2 linked regions of the Elephas maximus indicus genome follow. The protein of the gene in region 1 interacts with the protein of each later gene in a biochemical or structural test. Links are inferred from orthologs where the notes say so. Each region holds a gene or a part of one and is shown on either strand. Other genes may lie near its edges.

Evidence for each region. The genes of interacting proteins can lie anywhere in the genome.
Region 2: the proteins of DDX39A (region 1) and SARNP form a complex in vitro, tested with the Homo sapiens proteins (2 studies listed by BioGRID). The link is inferred for Elephas maximus indicus from reciprocal best matches to the Homo sapiens genes DDX39A and SARNP.

Annotation. Positions count from the first base shown.
Region 1 is NC_064821.1:33,009,416-33,016,725, reverse strand, and holds the start of DDX39A (ATP-dependent RNA helicase DDX39A), read left to right. Parts: upstream 1-4,237; coding exon 4,238-4,445; intron 4,446-4,760; coding exon 4,761-4,888; intron 4,889-6,625; coding exon 6,626-6,718; intron 6,719-7,108; coding exon 7,109-7,292; intron 7,293-7,310. UniProt on the Homo sapiens protein: Helicase that plays an essential role in mRNA export and is involved in multiple steps in RNA metabolism including alternative splicing. Regulates nuclear mRNA export to the cytoplasm through association with ECD.
Region 2 is NC_064822.1:115,787,084-115,794,271, forward strand, and holds the start of SARNP (SAP domain-containing ribonucleoprotein), read right to left. Parts: upstream 3,026-7,188; 5' UTR 1,598-3,025; coding exon 1,553-1,597; intron 1-1,552. UniProt on the Homo sapiens protein: Binds both single-stranded and double-stranded DNA with higher affinity for the single-stranded form. Specifically binds to scaffold/matrix attachment region DNA. Also binds single-stranded RNA. Enhances RNA unwinding activity of DDX39A.

The DNA of each region.
Region 1 (7,310 bases):
GTGGTGGTCCAGTAAGTGGAGCAGCAGGCGACCGCTGGAGGCAGGAAGCGCGCCTGCCCGTGTTGGAGCGCGCGGTTGCTAAGTGGAGTCGGTTGGCTCTCGTAGCAGCACGCGGAGGTGAACCCAGAATCAGGTAAGTGGCAGAGCCGTGGTGAGGTGCCCCCAGGCCTGCGGGCGAGCGGATGAGGGAAGACGCCGGGTGTGGAGGGAGTAGAGGATGGGGCGCGAGCCCTGAGGGGTGGGAGCGGGTGTTGGGGCGCCCCGCGCGCCCGGTGGCCGTTGAGCGCGGGGGCGCATGCGCGAGGGGCGGGCTGGCCGTTGGCGTGCGGGGCCGCTTCCGGGAGGGGTTGTCATGGCCGCCGACCCCTCGAGCCCGACCTGTGACTGAGCTCGTCTGTCTGTCGTCCGAACAGAGCCCGAGGCAGCCCAAGGCGCTTTGGGGAGGGCCCGGGGGGCGAGAAGCTGAACCTTCGAGACAGGGCGGGCCTCTCCGAGTCCCAGAAATCCCCTTCACCGGGCTCTGTTCTTGCCCGGTGTTTGGGAGATTTGGGGTTCCAGAGATTTAGGGGAAAAAAAAAGATTTCTTTCGGAAATAGACGACCCCAGTAAGGAGCAAACTCGGGGGTGGAAAGCTGCACTTAAGAGCGAATGGATGCGAGTATCGTGTCTGGGTTGTCACTATCTCAGTGTCAATTTCCAAGTTCACCCACTCCAGGAGGTCCGCCACATCGTATCTCCTTCTGATCTAATTTGCTTTGAGCATTATATCTTGTCCAGTCACCTCCTGGAGATTTTTGTGCCTCAAACTGAACTTCAGATTTCCACCAAAAGCAATCCAAAAAAAACCACAAAAATTTCATTTGACCTTCTCAATAATTTTAAATACACCACCTCCTCTTGGTCACCCAGGTTTGAAGCCCAGAGTAGATGACCCTGGCTCTTTGCTCTTGGGTCATCCAGAGTCTGGATTATTCTACGCTCTTCTCTGTACTTGATGAATGCCCCCATCCTGGTTTTCTCTGCTGCTGGTCCCTCCTCCGGAAACCTTGGTGGCTAGTGATTAAGACCTATGGCTGCTAACCAAAAGTTCAACAATTTGAATCCACCAGGTGCTCCTTGGAAACTGTATGGTGCAGTTCTGTTCTGTCCTATAGGGTCGCTATGAGTCAAAATAGACTCCACACAAGTGGTTTGATTTTTATTTTTAGTCCCTCCTGCACTCCATCCTCATCCTGGTTGAGTCACTCAATTCAGAAGCTCGTCAGTGATTTCCTGTTGCATAGTAAATTGAGTACAAATGCCCTGGTCTTCTGCCTGTACTTCAGCCACGAAGTCCTACTCCCATTCCCCAAAAGGGTCTGGTGCTTTTCCCAGTGGCCGTTCTTGCCTCATGTCGTTTTTCCTCCTGCCTGTTTTTGCTACTCAGAATCCTCAGGGACCTTATCAGGTGCTGCTGCTTTCAAGGATCAGGTAACAGACATGCTTACTTTAGCCCCAGAACTCTGCCTTGAGGCCTTGATCCTAGTAGGACTTTGGATCGATTTGTTTCAATTTCACGCTCTGCTGAGAGTTAGTATTTCCACTCTGGATATACTGAATCAATCTACATTTTAACCAGATCCCCTAGTGATTCTTACGGATCCTGGGGATCTTGGTAGAATGCATATTTGTATTCAAAATGTCTGGGTATAAAAGCAAATTCTCAGTAGGGGGTCGAACCAAAACAAACCATTTCAAAGCCCTGGATTCTAATTCCATTCATTCAATCAGTGCTCGGTGAGTACCTTCCTGCTGTGTGGCAGGCCCTGTTCTAGGTGCTGGGGACACAGTAATCCACAAAACAGCCAGTCAGGTGAGAATGACAAATACATGACACGTCAGGTGGGAAGAAGAATAAGCTGGGTAGGGTCTCCTGTGCCTGGAGGGTATGCTGTTGTAGTTGGGACCCTCAGGAAAGACCCTTCCGGAGCGACATAATTTGAGTGAAGGAACAGTGAGTGCAGAGGCACAGAGGGGAGTTAGAGGCATTCAGGGGATGAGATCTGAGGGCAGTGGGGGGTCAGGTCGAGTCAGATGTGATAGGCCATGGTAAGGACTATTCCTAGCAGATGGGAGCCATGAGTGGAGGTTGTGTACACAAGTGATATGATCTGACTTGGTTCCCTCTGGTTGCTGTGAACGTGGGGGAGGCAGAAGCTGGGGACCACCGAGGAGGCTGCTGCCATAATCCAGCCAAGAGTCCAGCTGTGGATGAACAGGGAAACAAAACATGGTGCATCCGTACAATAGGGTATTATTCAGCCACGGAAAGGAATGAAGTTCTCATTCATGCTACCGTGTGGATGAATCTTGAAAACATTGTGCTAAGGGAAAGAAGCCAGACACAAAGACCACGTATTGTAGAATTCCATTGATATGGAATGTCTGGAGACAGGAAGGAGGTTAGCAGTTGCCAGGGGATTGGGAGATCGGAGGGTGAGGTTGGTAGCTAAGGGTATGTATGGGGTTTCTTTTTGAAGTGATGAAATGTTCTAAAATTGATTGTGGGGATGATTGCACATGTCTGAATTGTGTACTCTAAATGGGTGAATGGTAAGGTAGGTAGATTTTATCTCAGTGATCCTGTTCTAATTAAAAAAGGAGGTGATGGCCAGTGTGGTAGCAGGGTGAGGTGGCTGATCGACCTGGCAGGGTTTGCTGGTGAATGGGACATGGAGGATGAGCAAGAAGAGGCAGGCACTGAGAGAATGGAATTGCCGCTTATGAGATGGGGAGAGCTGGCTGTGGGGAGAAACAGTTTTCATTCTAGGCATTTTGAGTTCAAGGGGAGATGTGGAGAAGGCAGCTGTGGAAAGGAGTCTGGAGGTCAGGGGAGAGGTTGCCTCCAGAGACACAGGCTTGGGAGGGGCAGCACAGAGATGTTTAAGCGGGGAGGGGGGCGGGGTACTGGATGAAGTCACAGAGAGAGAGAGAGAGAGGAGGACCAGAAATGGGGCCCAGGGCACAGCACTCAGGCTCGGGAAGAAGCACTGCTTCTGCACCTCTGCCCCCGTTGGGCTGGAGGCTGGGCTGGGGCGGGAGGGTGGAGGGAGACTGTCCTCAGGCTGTCCTCAGGTTTGGATCCCGGGTGGCACAGCTGCACCCTGTGCTCTGTACGTGTTGGACTAAATAAAGTGAGGAGGTGAATGAGCTTCGTATTAATTCCATTTACTGCCTTGGCTTTATTTTTATTGGCCCTGGGCCCAACGGGAGGCCTTTTCCTGAGAGCACTTAATTATTCCCCTGTGCCAACCACAAATAGCGGGAGAAGCTGAGCGGCGCAGACACCACTCCCTAACAAACGCCCTCCTCCAGCATTGCAGCAGCTTTCCTTAGGGCCGTGACCCCATCTCTAGGTCTCTGGGATCCTGTACTACGCAGCCCAGCAGGGCACATGGAGAGTGGTGGGCAAGGGCAGCTTTAGGCTGGGGGTCTGAGGAGGGCACTTTAGAGCTGAAATGGAGCATTCTTGCGAGGACCTGGGGCTCCTCTAGCCTAAGAAACAAAGCTGGCCTGGTATGAGGGGAGTGGTGCTGGATGAGGGGGGCAGGGCCCCACAAGGAGGGGTGGAAATTGGGGCTCACTCTGAGAGCACTGGGAAGCCTTTGAGGGTCTTTGTAAGTGTATGTGGGTGTGACCACCTGGTGTGTGTTTTAGCTGCCATTGGGCTGGCTTTTGACTCATGGCGACCCCATGTGTTAGAGAGTAGAACTGCTCCGTAGGGTTTTCTTGGGTATCATCTTTATAGAAGCAGATTTCTAGGCCTTTCTTCTGTGGCACCCCTGAGTGGGTTTGAACCGCCAGCCTTTCAGTTGGTAGTCTAGTACAAACCATTTGTACCACCCAGGGACCTTGATGGTATGTGTTTTACGAGGGGCAGGTGTGGTGGAAGGGCAGGGGGTCGAGGCAAGGTGAGGTGGCTTCGACCAGGGTGGTGGGGGTGCAGATGGGGAGACGGGATGCAGTTGGAGGCAGCTCATGGTTGGAGCTTGCGGGACCCGCCGATGATTCAATGTGGAGGTGACGAAAAGAGTCAGGATGGCATCGAGTAGTCTCGGCTGGGTGGGCTTCCATGCTTGCTTTCAAGACTGGCCAGCAGTGTCATACCGCCTTGGGACCTGTCCACCTTGCCCGGCAAGTTTTCCTGCAAGCATCTGGGTCACTGCCCTCTGCCCTCCTCTGCTCTGTTCTCAGCACTATGGCAGAACAGGATGTGGAAAACGAGCTTCTGGATTACGAGGAAGATGAAGAGCCCCAGGCGCCTCCAGAGAGCACTCCAGCTCCATCCAAGAAAGATGTCAAGGGTTCCTACGTTTCCATTCACAGCTCTGGCTTCCGGGACTTTCTGCTAAAGCCAGAGCTACTGAGGGCCATTGTGGACTGTGGCTTTGAGCACCCATCTGAGGGTATGCCTCCCTGTCTTCTCGCCCTGCCAGGACCCTCACCAAGACCAGCTCTGCCCGTAGATGGGAACATGTGCCTTCCTGGTGGGGTTGGTGGTGCTTAGGCAGGGTCTGTGGCTCAGAGGTGTCCAGTAGCTGCCCTTTGCAGCGTGGTACTCTGCTTTACCAGACAGATACCCCAGACCCACAGTTGTTTGTGACATGATAGGCCCTGGCCTCCTCTCCTTGCCCTCACCAGGGCCTCTTGGCCAGCCCGTGAGGAGCCTGCACAGAGGGGGCACCCAGCATCTGGCCGCTCAAATCCTTTTCCTCCCACAGTCCAGCACGAGTGTATCCCCCAAGCCATCCTGGGGATGGACGTCCTGTGCCAAGCCAAGTCTGGAATGGGCAAGACAGCGGTTTTCGTGCTGGCCACCCTGCAGCAGATCGAGCCCGTCAATGGACAGGTATGGGTGACCTCCCCTCCCAGCCCAATCCGCTGAGCAGAGGGCCCCCTTTCCCTGCAGCACACTGCTTCCTGTTCCTTTTTCATCTCTTCTTAAACATTTCTGTCTTCACATTCTTTTTTTTAATTGTGCTTTTGATGAAAGTTTTATAGGCCAAGTTAGTTTCTCATACAAAAACTCATATGCACATTCATATGTGACCATAGTTGCTGTCCATGTAATGTGACAACACATTCCTCCTTTTCACTCTGGATTTCCCATGTCCATTCAACCAACTCCTATTGCTTTCTTCCTTCTCCTCTCACCTCTGGACAGGAGCTGCCCATTTCGTCTTGTGTATCCTCTTGAACTAAGAAGCACACTCTTCAGTAGTATCAAATTATGTCTCATAGTCTAGTCTAATCTTTCTCTGAAAAATTGGCTTCAAGAATGGTTTTATTTCTGGGCTAAACGGAGAGTTTGGGGGCTATGTCTTCTGGGCTTCCTCCAGTCTCTGTCAAACCATTAAGTCTGGTCTTTTTGCTAGAATTTCAGTTCTGCATCCCACTTTTCTTGTGCTCCATCAGGGACTCTTTAATGTGTTCCCTGTCAAGGTGGTCGTTGGTAGTTGCTGAGTACCATCTAGTTCTTCTGGTCTCAGGCTGATGGAATCTCTGGTTTACGTGGCCCTTTTTGTCTCTTGGGCTAATATTTTCCTTGTATCTTTGGTGTCCTTAACTCTCCTTTGCTCCAGGTGGGTTGGGATCAATTGATGCATTTTAGATGGCCACTCATTAGCTTTTAAGACCCCAGACACCACTCATCAAAGTGGGATGCAGAACATTTTCTTAGTAAACTTGGTTATGCCAGTTGACCTAGGTGTCCCCTCAAGCCATGGTCTCCAGACCTCCACCTTTGCTATACTGTCTCTTGAAGTGTTTGGTTGTGTTCGGGAAACTTCTTAGCTTTTGGTTCAGTCCAGTTGTGCTGACTTCCCCTGTATCATGTCTTGTCCTTCACTTCGTGTAAGATAATTCTTGTCTACTGTCTAGTTGGTGAGTTCCCCTCCCTACTCATAACCATCAAAGAATATTTTCTTCTGCGTTTAAACTTTTTCTTGAGATCTCGTAATAGTGGTCTCGTGCAATATTTGTTCTTTTGCAACTAATTTCACTTAGCATAATGCCTTCCAAATTCATCCAGGTCATGAGATGTTTTCCAGATTCATCGTTGTTCTTTTATCATTGCATGGTATTCTGTTGTCCCGCATTAGTTTTGTGGGCTTATAAGATTAAATGTAGTATTGTAATAAAATCAGAAAATATCAATAAACCAAAAAAAGTATCCATAGTTTTTCTACATAAGGAGATCACTTATATTAAATGATGTGTGCACTCTTAGATTGTTTTCATAAAGGCGGGTGTGTACTGAGTGGAGCTCCATTAGCGCAGGCCACCTGGGCTAGGCTGGGCCTCATTGACCTTATTGCATGTGTGGGTAGGGGTGCCCATCAGGAGCTCCCTGCCTTCTTGGCGGGAGATAGGCCTCAGTAGCTAGGAGAGGGTGAAGGGCCATGAGGAGGTGGAAGCATGGGACTGGGCATGCTAATGGCCTAGGTGTGGGGAACAGTGGGAGGTCCAGCGTGGGGTTAGGCTTGAATATTGTCAGTTGGGAAGGGAAGAGCACACTGGCATGGGCTTTGGGCCCTGGGAAGGGTTAGGACCTTGGCTTAAGGACCCCTCTTCTCCCACCCGACAGGTGACAGTCCTGGTCATGTGCCATACTCGGGAGCTGGCCTTCCAGATCAGCAAGGAATATGAGCGCTTCTCCAAGTACATGCCTAATGTGAAGGTGAGCCCCTTGGGCTGGGCCCAGTGCCCAGTGGTCTTCTGCAGTGTGCTGGCCTCAGCTGTGGCTCAGCCAGCGTTTACTAAGCTTGGCTGCAGCAGCTGCCTCTGAGGTTTGCGGTAGTTTATGCTCCTTAAAAGCCTGATGAATTATGCATGGCCCCCAAGGCCTTTGCTGCCCCAGCCCTGGGGCTGCTTTTCAGGGGCGCTGGCCAGGCTCTCAGGCTTGTGTCCCTGCAGGTCTGGCTTGTTCTCAGGCATGGGGGTGGTGATGGGCATCCTTGGGGGTTGCAGGCCTGTGCTGGCAGGGCCATGGGCTGGGTGTCAGCACAGAGGGTGGGGTGCCGAGCCTTTATGCCAGGTGGGCAAAAGCAACTTCTCCGTGTCCTCGCAGGTGTCAGTGTTCTTCGGTGGCCTCTCCATCAAGAAGGATGAAGAAGTGCTGAAGAAGAATTGTCCACATGTTGTGGTGGGGACCCCGGGCCGCATCCTGGCGCTTGTGCGGAACAGGAGCCTCAACCTGAAGAATGTGAAGCACTTCGTGCTGGACGAGTGTGACAAGATGCTGGAGCAGCTGGGTGAGTGCCCGCCGTGGT
Region 2 (7,188 bases), on another chromosome or scaffold:
TCAGCTGCTAACCAAAAGGTTGGCAGTTCGAATCCATTAGCCGCTACCTGGAAACGCTATAGGGCAGTTCTACTCTGTCCTATAGGGTTGCTATGAGTCAGAATCGACCTGACGGCAACAGGTTTGGTTTGGTTTGATCTCTCCATTTGGTTTGTAAACTCTCAGAGAACAGACATTTTATATCATGTACAACATTTCACATAGCAGAAACTCAAACACGTATTTATTTTCAAGTACTAGTAAATGCCATAAGAAGCCTTGGCAGCGCAGTGGTTAAAGCGATCCACTGCTAACCAAAAGGTCAGCAGTTCAAACCACCAGCAGCTCCATGGGAGAAAGATGTGGCAGTCTGCTTCAGTAGAGATTTATAGTTTTGGAAACCCTATGGGGTCACTGGAAACCCCGGTGGTTTAGTGGTTAAGGACTACGGCTGCTAACCAAAAGGTCAGCAGTTTGAATCCACCAGGCACTCCTTGGAAACTCTACGGGGCAGTTCTACTCTGTCCTATAGGGGCACTATGAGTTGGAATCGGCTTGACTGCAACAATACGGTTTTATGGGGTCACTATGCACTGGGTTTTTTGGGTTATGAGTCAGAATCGACTCGACAGCAATGGGTTTTGGAGTATGTAGCAGACCAGATGCTAAGTACCTTGAATGCATTTTCTCATTTAATCCTTAAAACAAACTTATGTAGTTGGTATTATGATCCCCATTTTATAAATTAAGAAAATGAGACTTAAACAGATTCAGTTGGTTTATGATCACACAGCTAGTAAACAGTGGAGCCAATATGCCAGCTAGGGTCTCTGTGATTCAAGCTCATAATCTTAACTACTAAGGTGCTAACACTGCTCTCTCTTGATTCTTTTACCTCTCTCTCCTCCTCAGCCTCAAAGGAACCCTGGTGGCACAGTGGTTAAGCGCTGGCCTGCTAACCGAAAGGTCAGCAGTTCGAATCCACCAACTTGGAAACCCCATGAAGCAGTTCTACTCTGTCCTTTGGGGTCACCATGAGTTGGAATCAATCTGACCGGATGGCAACAGGTTTGGTTTTTTCCTCAGCCTCCTTACTAGCTCTTGCTCTACCCAACCCCATAAATACTGGTATTCACTAAGATTCCTTCTTTTGCTCTCATTTCACTTGTAACAAACGTGTTCACTCCCCTGAATCCAATCACTGGCAAATCCTGTCACCTCTACTTTCAAAATATATCTAGAATCTAATTCCTTTTCATCACCTTGAACACTACTCCTCAGGTCTTCCTATCATACAGACTATTGTAAAAACCTCTTCAGCTGTTATCTCACTATAGTTTATTCTCTAGTCAGATTGATTCTTTGAAAATTTAAGTCAGACATACGTATGTGTACATGCTACAAACACATCCATGTATGTAGTTGTGCACACAAGGGACATAGTCATGAAAACGTCTTAGCCATAACCATATACCTCATGGGACTGAGATACTGGTCTTGAGAGTTAGAATAGTCCCGGGGGACATCTAGATCAACTGGCATATCTTACTCCATACAATGTTGTACATCCTACCTTGTTGAGCAGCACCTGGGGTCTCAAGAGCTTGCGAGCAGCCATCTAAGATACAATTGGTCTCTTCCTGTCTGGAGCAAAGAAGAGTGAAGAAAACCAAAGCCTCAAGGAAAATATTAGTCCAAAGGACTAATGGACCACCTGAACCACAGCCTCCACCAGCCTGAGTCCAGAAGAACTAGATGGTGTTCAGCTATCACTACTGACTGCTCTGACTGAGACCACAATAGTAGGTCATGGACAGAATGAAATGAGAAATACAGAACAAAATTCAAACTAAGACCAGACTTACTGGTCTGATAGAGACTGGGGGAGCTCCCAAGGCTATACTCCTTAGACACTCTTCTAACTTGGAACTGAAATCACTCCCAGAGATCACATTATAGCCATACAGCAGAACAGGCCTATAAGATGAACAATTAACACCAGTGAGGAATGTACATCTCAGAACAATCAACTATATGAGACCTAAGGGGCAGCATTTGCCTAAAAACACAGCTCAGAAGGATGGTAGGGGCAGGAAAGCTGGGTGAATGGATACAGGAAGCCAGGAAGGAAGGGGGGAGAGTGCAGACACATTCAAGAGTTTGCAACCAAGGTCACAAAACAAGCTGTGCATAAATTATTGAATGGAAAACTAATTTGCTCTGTAAACTTAACCTAAACAACAAGAAAATGTTCACACAAAAAAAGAAAATTGAAGTCAGTCATGTCACTCCTCTATTAAAAAATTCCCCCACTGGTTTTCCATATCATAAAGGATAAAAGCTAGAGTCCTAATCATCACCTACAAGGCCCTACACAATCTATTCCCCATTCCCCACCATTACCTCTGTGACCCCTCTTCTACTATTCCTACTAGCACTGCTCACTTCGATAAGCCACGTGGCCCCTTACGCTACCCCTCTAACACTTTCCACATGGCTCACTGCTTTACCTCCTTCAAATCTTTGCTTCAACATCTTCTCAAAGAGACCTTACCTGGTCACCCTATTTAGAATGACAGCATCTTTCCCACTGTACTTCCTGTTTTTCTCTACAGACCATATCACCATTTTATTGTGCCTTCTCCAGAAAAATATAACCTCCATGAGGGCAAGGATTTTTGTCTGTTTTGTTCATTGCTGAATTCCTAGCACCTTTACGGTAGCTGGCACGTAGTAGGTACTCAATAAGTATTTTTAAAATGAAACCCAGACTTTTACCCCTAAACTCTCAGCTCTTCAGCAAAAAAACCCCATATTTCCAATTGACTACTAGACATCTCCAAAGTGACGTCCTAAAGACTCTTAAGCCTAAAACTAAATTTCTCTCCTATACAAGACTGGCTCTTCCTCCTCTTCCCAACCTAAAGGAGTCAATCTTGGAGTCATCTTTCATTCCTCCCACATTTAACTAATCTATAAATTCATACAATTCTACATTCCAAATTTGTTCCCATTCTAATAAGCACTACCTTATTTCAGGTCTTTTGACAAATAGTTACTGAGCACCTACTGTGAATCAAGCATTATCTTAAATACAGGAAAATAATCATAAGGAAAAAAAGTCTTTGCCTGCATGGAACTTACAATCTAGTAGGGGAACAAGGCAATTAATGATCACATAAAAAGTGTTTAACTGACTTAAAAAAAAAAACAAGCTCAAGGCTCTATAAAAGCGTATGAAAAGAGGTCTGATCATGTGCATGGATAGAGAGGGCAGGGAAGGCTTCCTTGGGTAAACAATGCTTGAATGATATCTGAAGGGTGACTAGCAGTTGATTAGACAAAGGTATTGCGGGGAGTGGGAGGTGGCAAGAGCACTGTAGGCAAAAGGAAACTGCAGCATTTGTGAAGGTTCTAGATTCTGAGGTAAAAACAAGAGGCAGTAGTCCATGGTGATCTAAGAACATCAATTTTTGAGACAGACTGCCTGGGTGTGAACCACAACTTAGCTGTGACATACAGCAAATTACTTAATCAGTTATTTAATCTCTCTGCACTTCAGTTTTCTCATCTTAAAATGGGATAATAGTAGTATTTACCTTATCAAATTAGTTAATGTATGTAAACAGCATTGACCAGTGCTTGCCACATAGTAAATGATATGTTAGTGTTAGAAATTAATGAATATAGCCATTCTGAGAAAATGAAATAAAGCCACTGTGGTTGGAGTGTTATAAACTACATTGGAGAGACATTAAAAGGTTTTAAGCTGAGAAGTAATGATAAAATCTGTCCCCCTCCAGATTCCACCCTCTGCACTGCCAGTAGAACACAGACAGGTCTGATCATCCTCCTTCTGCCTACATGACAAAAGCCAAACTCCTTACACAATTCGTTGTTTTAGATGCTGTTGTTCCATATAGGACAGAGCAGAACTGCCCCATAGATTTTCCAAGAAGCGGCTGGTGGATTTAAACTGCTGACCTTTTGGTTAGCAGCCGAGCTCTTAATCACTACACCACCAGGGCTCCACAACTTAGAAGGCCCTTTTCAGTATCAGTGCAATCCACCCTTATAGTCACACAGTTCACCTAGTTTTCCCTTCCAAACTATCTTCAGCTATCCACATATATGCACGTTATGCTTCAATAATGCAAATGTCTCACTATTCTTAACACTGACACTACTATACCTCTCTCCTCTCCTCTGCAATAGTCCATTTTTTAATGTTTGACTAGAAATCTGGTACTGTTACAGTTCAAAAGACATTTTCACCCACATCCACAGTTCTGTCTCTTTCCAACTGTGCTAGCATGACTGCACTTCTATAAAATCTTTATTGCCAGTGTAAACCAAAAACAAAAAAACCAAACCCGTTGCTGTCGAGTTGTTTCCGACTCATAGAGACCCTATAGGACAGAGTAGAACTGCCCCATAGGGTTTTCAAGGAGCACCTAGTAGATGTGAACTGCCGACCTTTTGGTTAGCAGCCTGAGCTCTCAACCACTGTGCCACCAGGGCTCCAGTGCCAATTTAGACAGATAATATTTTTCGTTCACTTCAAATCTTGTTCCTTAACAGTAACTCCAGGTCCCATTTTAAAGCCCCAAACCCCCTTTATAAAAAATGGAAAGGTTTAAAAAAAAAAGAAAGAGATAAAACCCTAAGTCAACCCAAAAGTCAGGATCACTCTATCACCTGTCCTGAAAGTCAGAATTAAAGGCATGAGTTCTTAACTAGAGGTCCATGGACTCCTCAGGGCTACCAGGTAGTTTTACGAGGCCCCTCAAATTGCATGCAAAATATGTATACATGCCTTTTTGTGGGGGAAGAGGGTCCATACCTTTCATCAGAGTTTCAAAGAGATCTGTGACCTCCAAAAGGTTAAGAAGTACTCTAGAGAAAAAGCAAAGACAAGCAAATGTGATTAAAAGGGTGAGTCCTTTTTAGGCTGCCTGGAATGCCTCATGTTCTTAATATCTAAAACCTGAAATCAGGTCAGAGGACATTCTGTAAAAGCGACTTAACCAATTAAATGCAAATTTAATATAGATCTGAAAAATACAGATTTGACGGAAGGAGGAACTCTATAAACACAAAATCCAAAAAGGCAAGTCATGGAATAGGAAGAAAATACTAAGTTTTCTATTCATATTTCCTTTCATCTCATCCACTCAAAAGTTCCTTTTGTGTGTGTTTTTTATAATATACATAACAACACAGTAGTATGTATGTAATTTATATATAAGTATACATACAATGAAGGTGGTGGCGTAATTTGTTTTTACTCATCATGATATTAAGAGGCCACCGATATAACCTACCCATTTCAGTACCATCAACTTAGCAGTAACACCAGCATAACAAAAAAAACCCACTAGTACAATTTAGAAATCAACGGTAAGAAATAGATCGGCTTTCACAGAAAGGATAATTGGTGTCAACTAATAAGTGATTAAAGAAAGGACCTCTATCTTTACTACTTAAACTTACTGGTCATCAAGTTCTAAAGGATCAATTTTCACTTTTGGCTAAATCGGCCTGTTTCGATCACGATTCCCAGAACGTGACCAAAACATCTGATGGGACAACTATTTGTGAAACCAAAAATGGACAACTTATCAAGTTAATTCGCCCTAAAAGAAACTACTCTTTTCTTGAACGAAAATGATAATCTAAATGTGAGAAAGCTACCAAGACCCATAACTTTAAATAGCTTCTGTGATTCGGAGTGTCAGTCGTGATATCAAGAGATGCAAGGTCCATCCACGCGATATGCAAGGGACTGAGACAAACCTAACCTTGGCATTGTATTCCACAGAACTGAAGCTAAGGGTTCTTTCTCCAAGGGGGGAGGTAAGGAGGTGCGGCCTGGAGGACCGGGAGCCACAAAGAGAACTCGAAAAACTTTTAAATCTGAGGTGTCTGTGCCTTTACTAACTGCTAAGGTCCCCTGAACCCCAGGTCTCGCCCAGGTTTCAAAGTTAGCCTCCGGGGGCGTAACCCCACCTGTAAAAAGAAGTGGAAGCATTTTCTGGATCACGTCTCGGTCCTCGACACAAATACACAAAGGTGCAATCACCTAATAGGGGAATCTCAACTTTGATAAACAGACGGGAAGCATCAACTCGGAAGAAAGGGGGGGTCCCGTGTCGGCGCAGGGGGAAAAAGAGGGGGCCGCTGACGTAATGCACCTCTGACAAGAAACGAAAAAGGAGTATAACAGGTAGAAGGCACTTACACAACCCAGTGGGGAAGGCTGACCGACGATACAGCGATTAAGAAAATTGGGAAGTCGAAATAACAAGTAAAAATAACTGTAAAGCCACGAGGAAAAACGGAAAAGTAGAGGAGTAGTGGGAAGACGGCAGGCACAAAAGAAAAGCCGACTAACTACGGCGGGAGAGGGAAAAGAAAATGGAAAAAAGCTACAAGGAGAACACGCAGAAGAAGGCGCAAGCCACTCTGCAGAATCCAGTTTCCAGAAAAGTCCAACTCAGCCATTCTCCCCTTCACGGTACCTTCAGCTTATGAAGCTCCACCGTCTCCGCCGCCATCTTGTTACCCCCTCTACTCCACTAGGCCCCCACCCGCCCCTTCTGCCGCCAAGAGCGCCCGCTTACGCGCAGAAAACGGCGGACCAATCGCTGTCAGTCTTACTTCCACCCCACACCATCAGCTCTTCCCATTAGTCAAGAAGTGGTGTCGCTCTCGCTCTTCTCAGCAGCTTTCCCCACCTCTCTCAAAAGGTGGGACAGAGAAAAGGGCGGGTTCTGCCGCTTCTGAACGACGGAAATAGCGACCAATTGGAGTCTCCATTGCAGACCGCCAGCCAATGGGTGGTGGAAGCGCTGATTCTGCTCCACCAATAGGGAGAGTACAAATGGGCGGGGACGGCTGCTTCCTGGAGACTACAGGTGTGGAAGCGAGCGCCGTGCTGTAGGAGGGGAGCTGTCAGGTAGGGGCTACCGGGAGACTGGAAAGGGGTTACTGAGGAAAAAAGGTGGGAGGGGGAAAGGAGGTGTGGGGGAGTTACAAACCGAGAGATGAGTGCTGGAGAGAGCCCTGAGGGGACCTGACGAACGAGAGAGGGAAGCTGGGAGAAGTATGGGGCGGGTTCAAAAGAGTTTAGGTATTTTTAGGTAGAGGCGCGGGCAAGGGCTGCTCCTAACCAGGCATCAGCTTTAAAGCTAACACGAATTTAAAGGT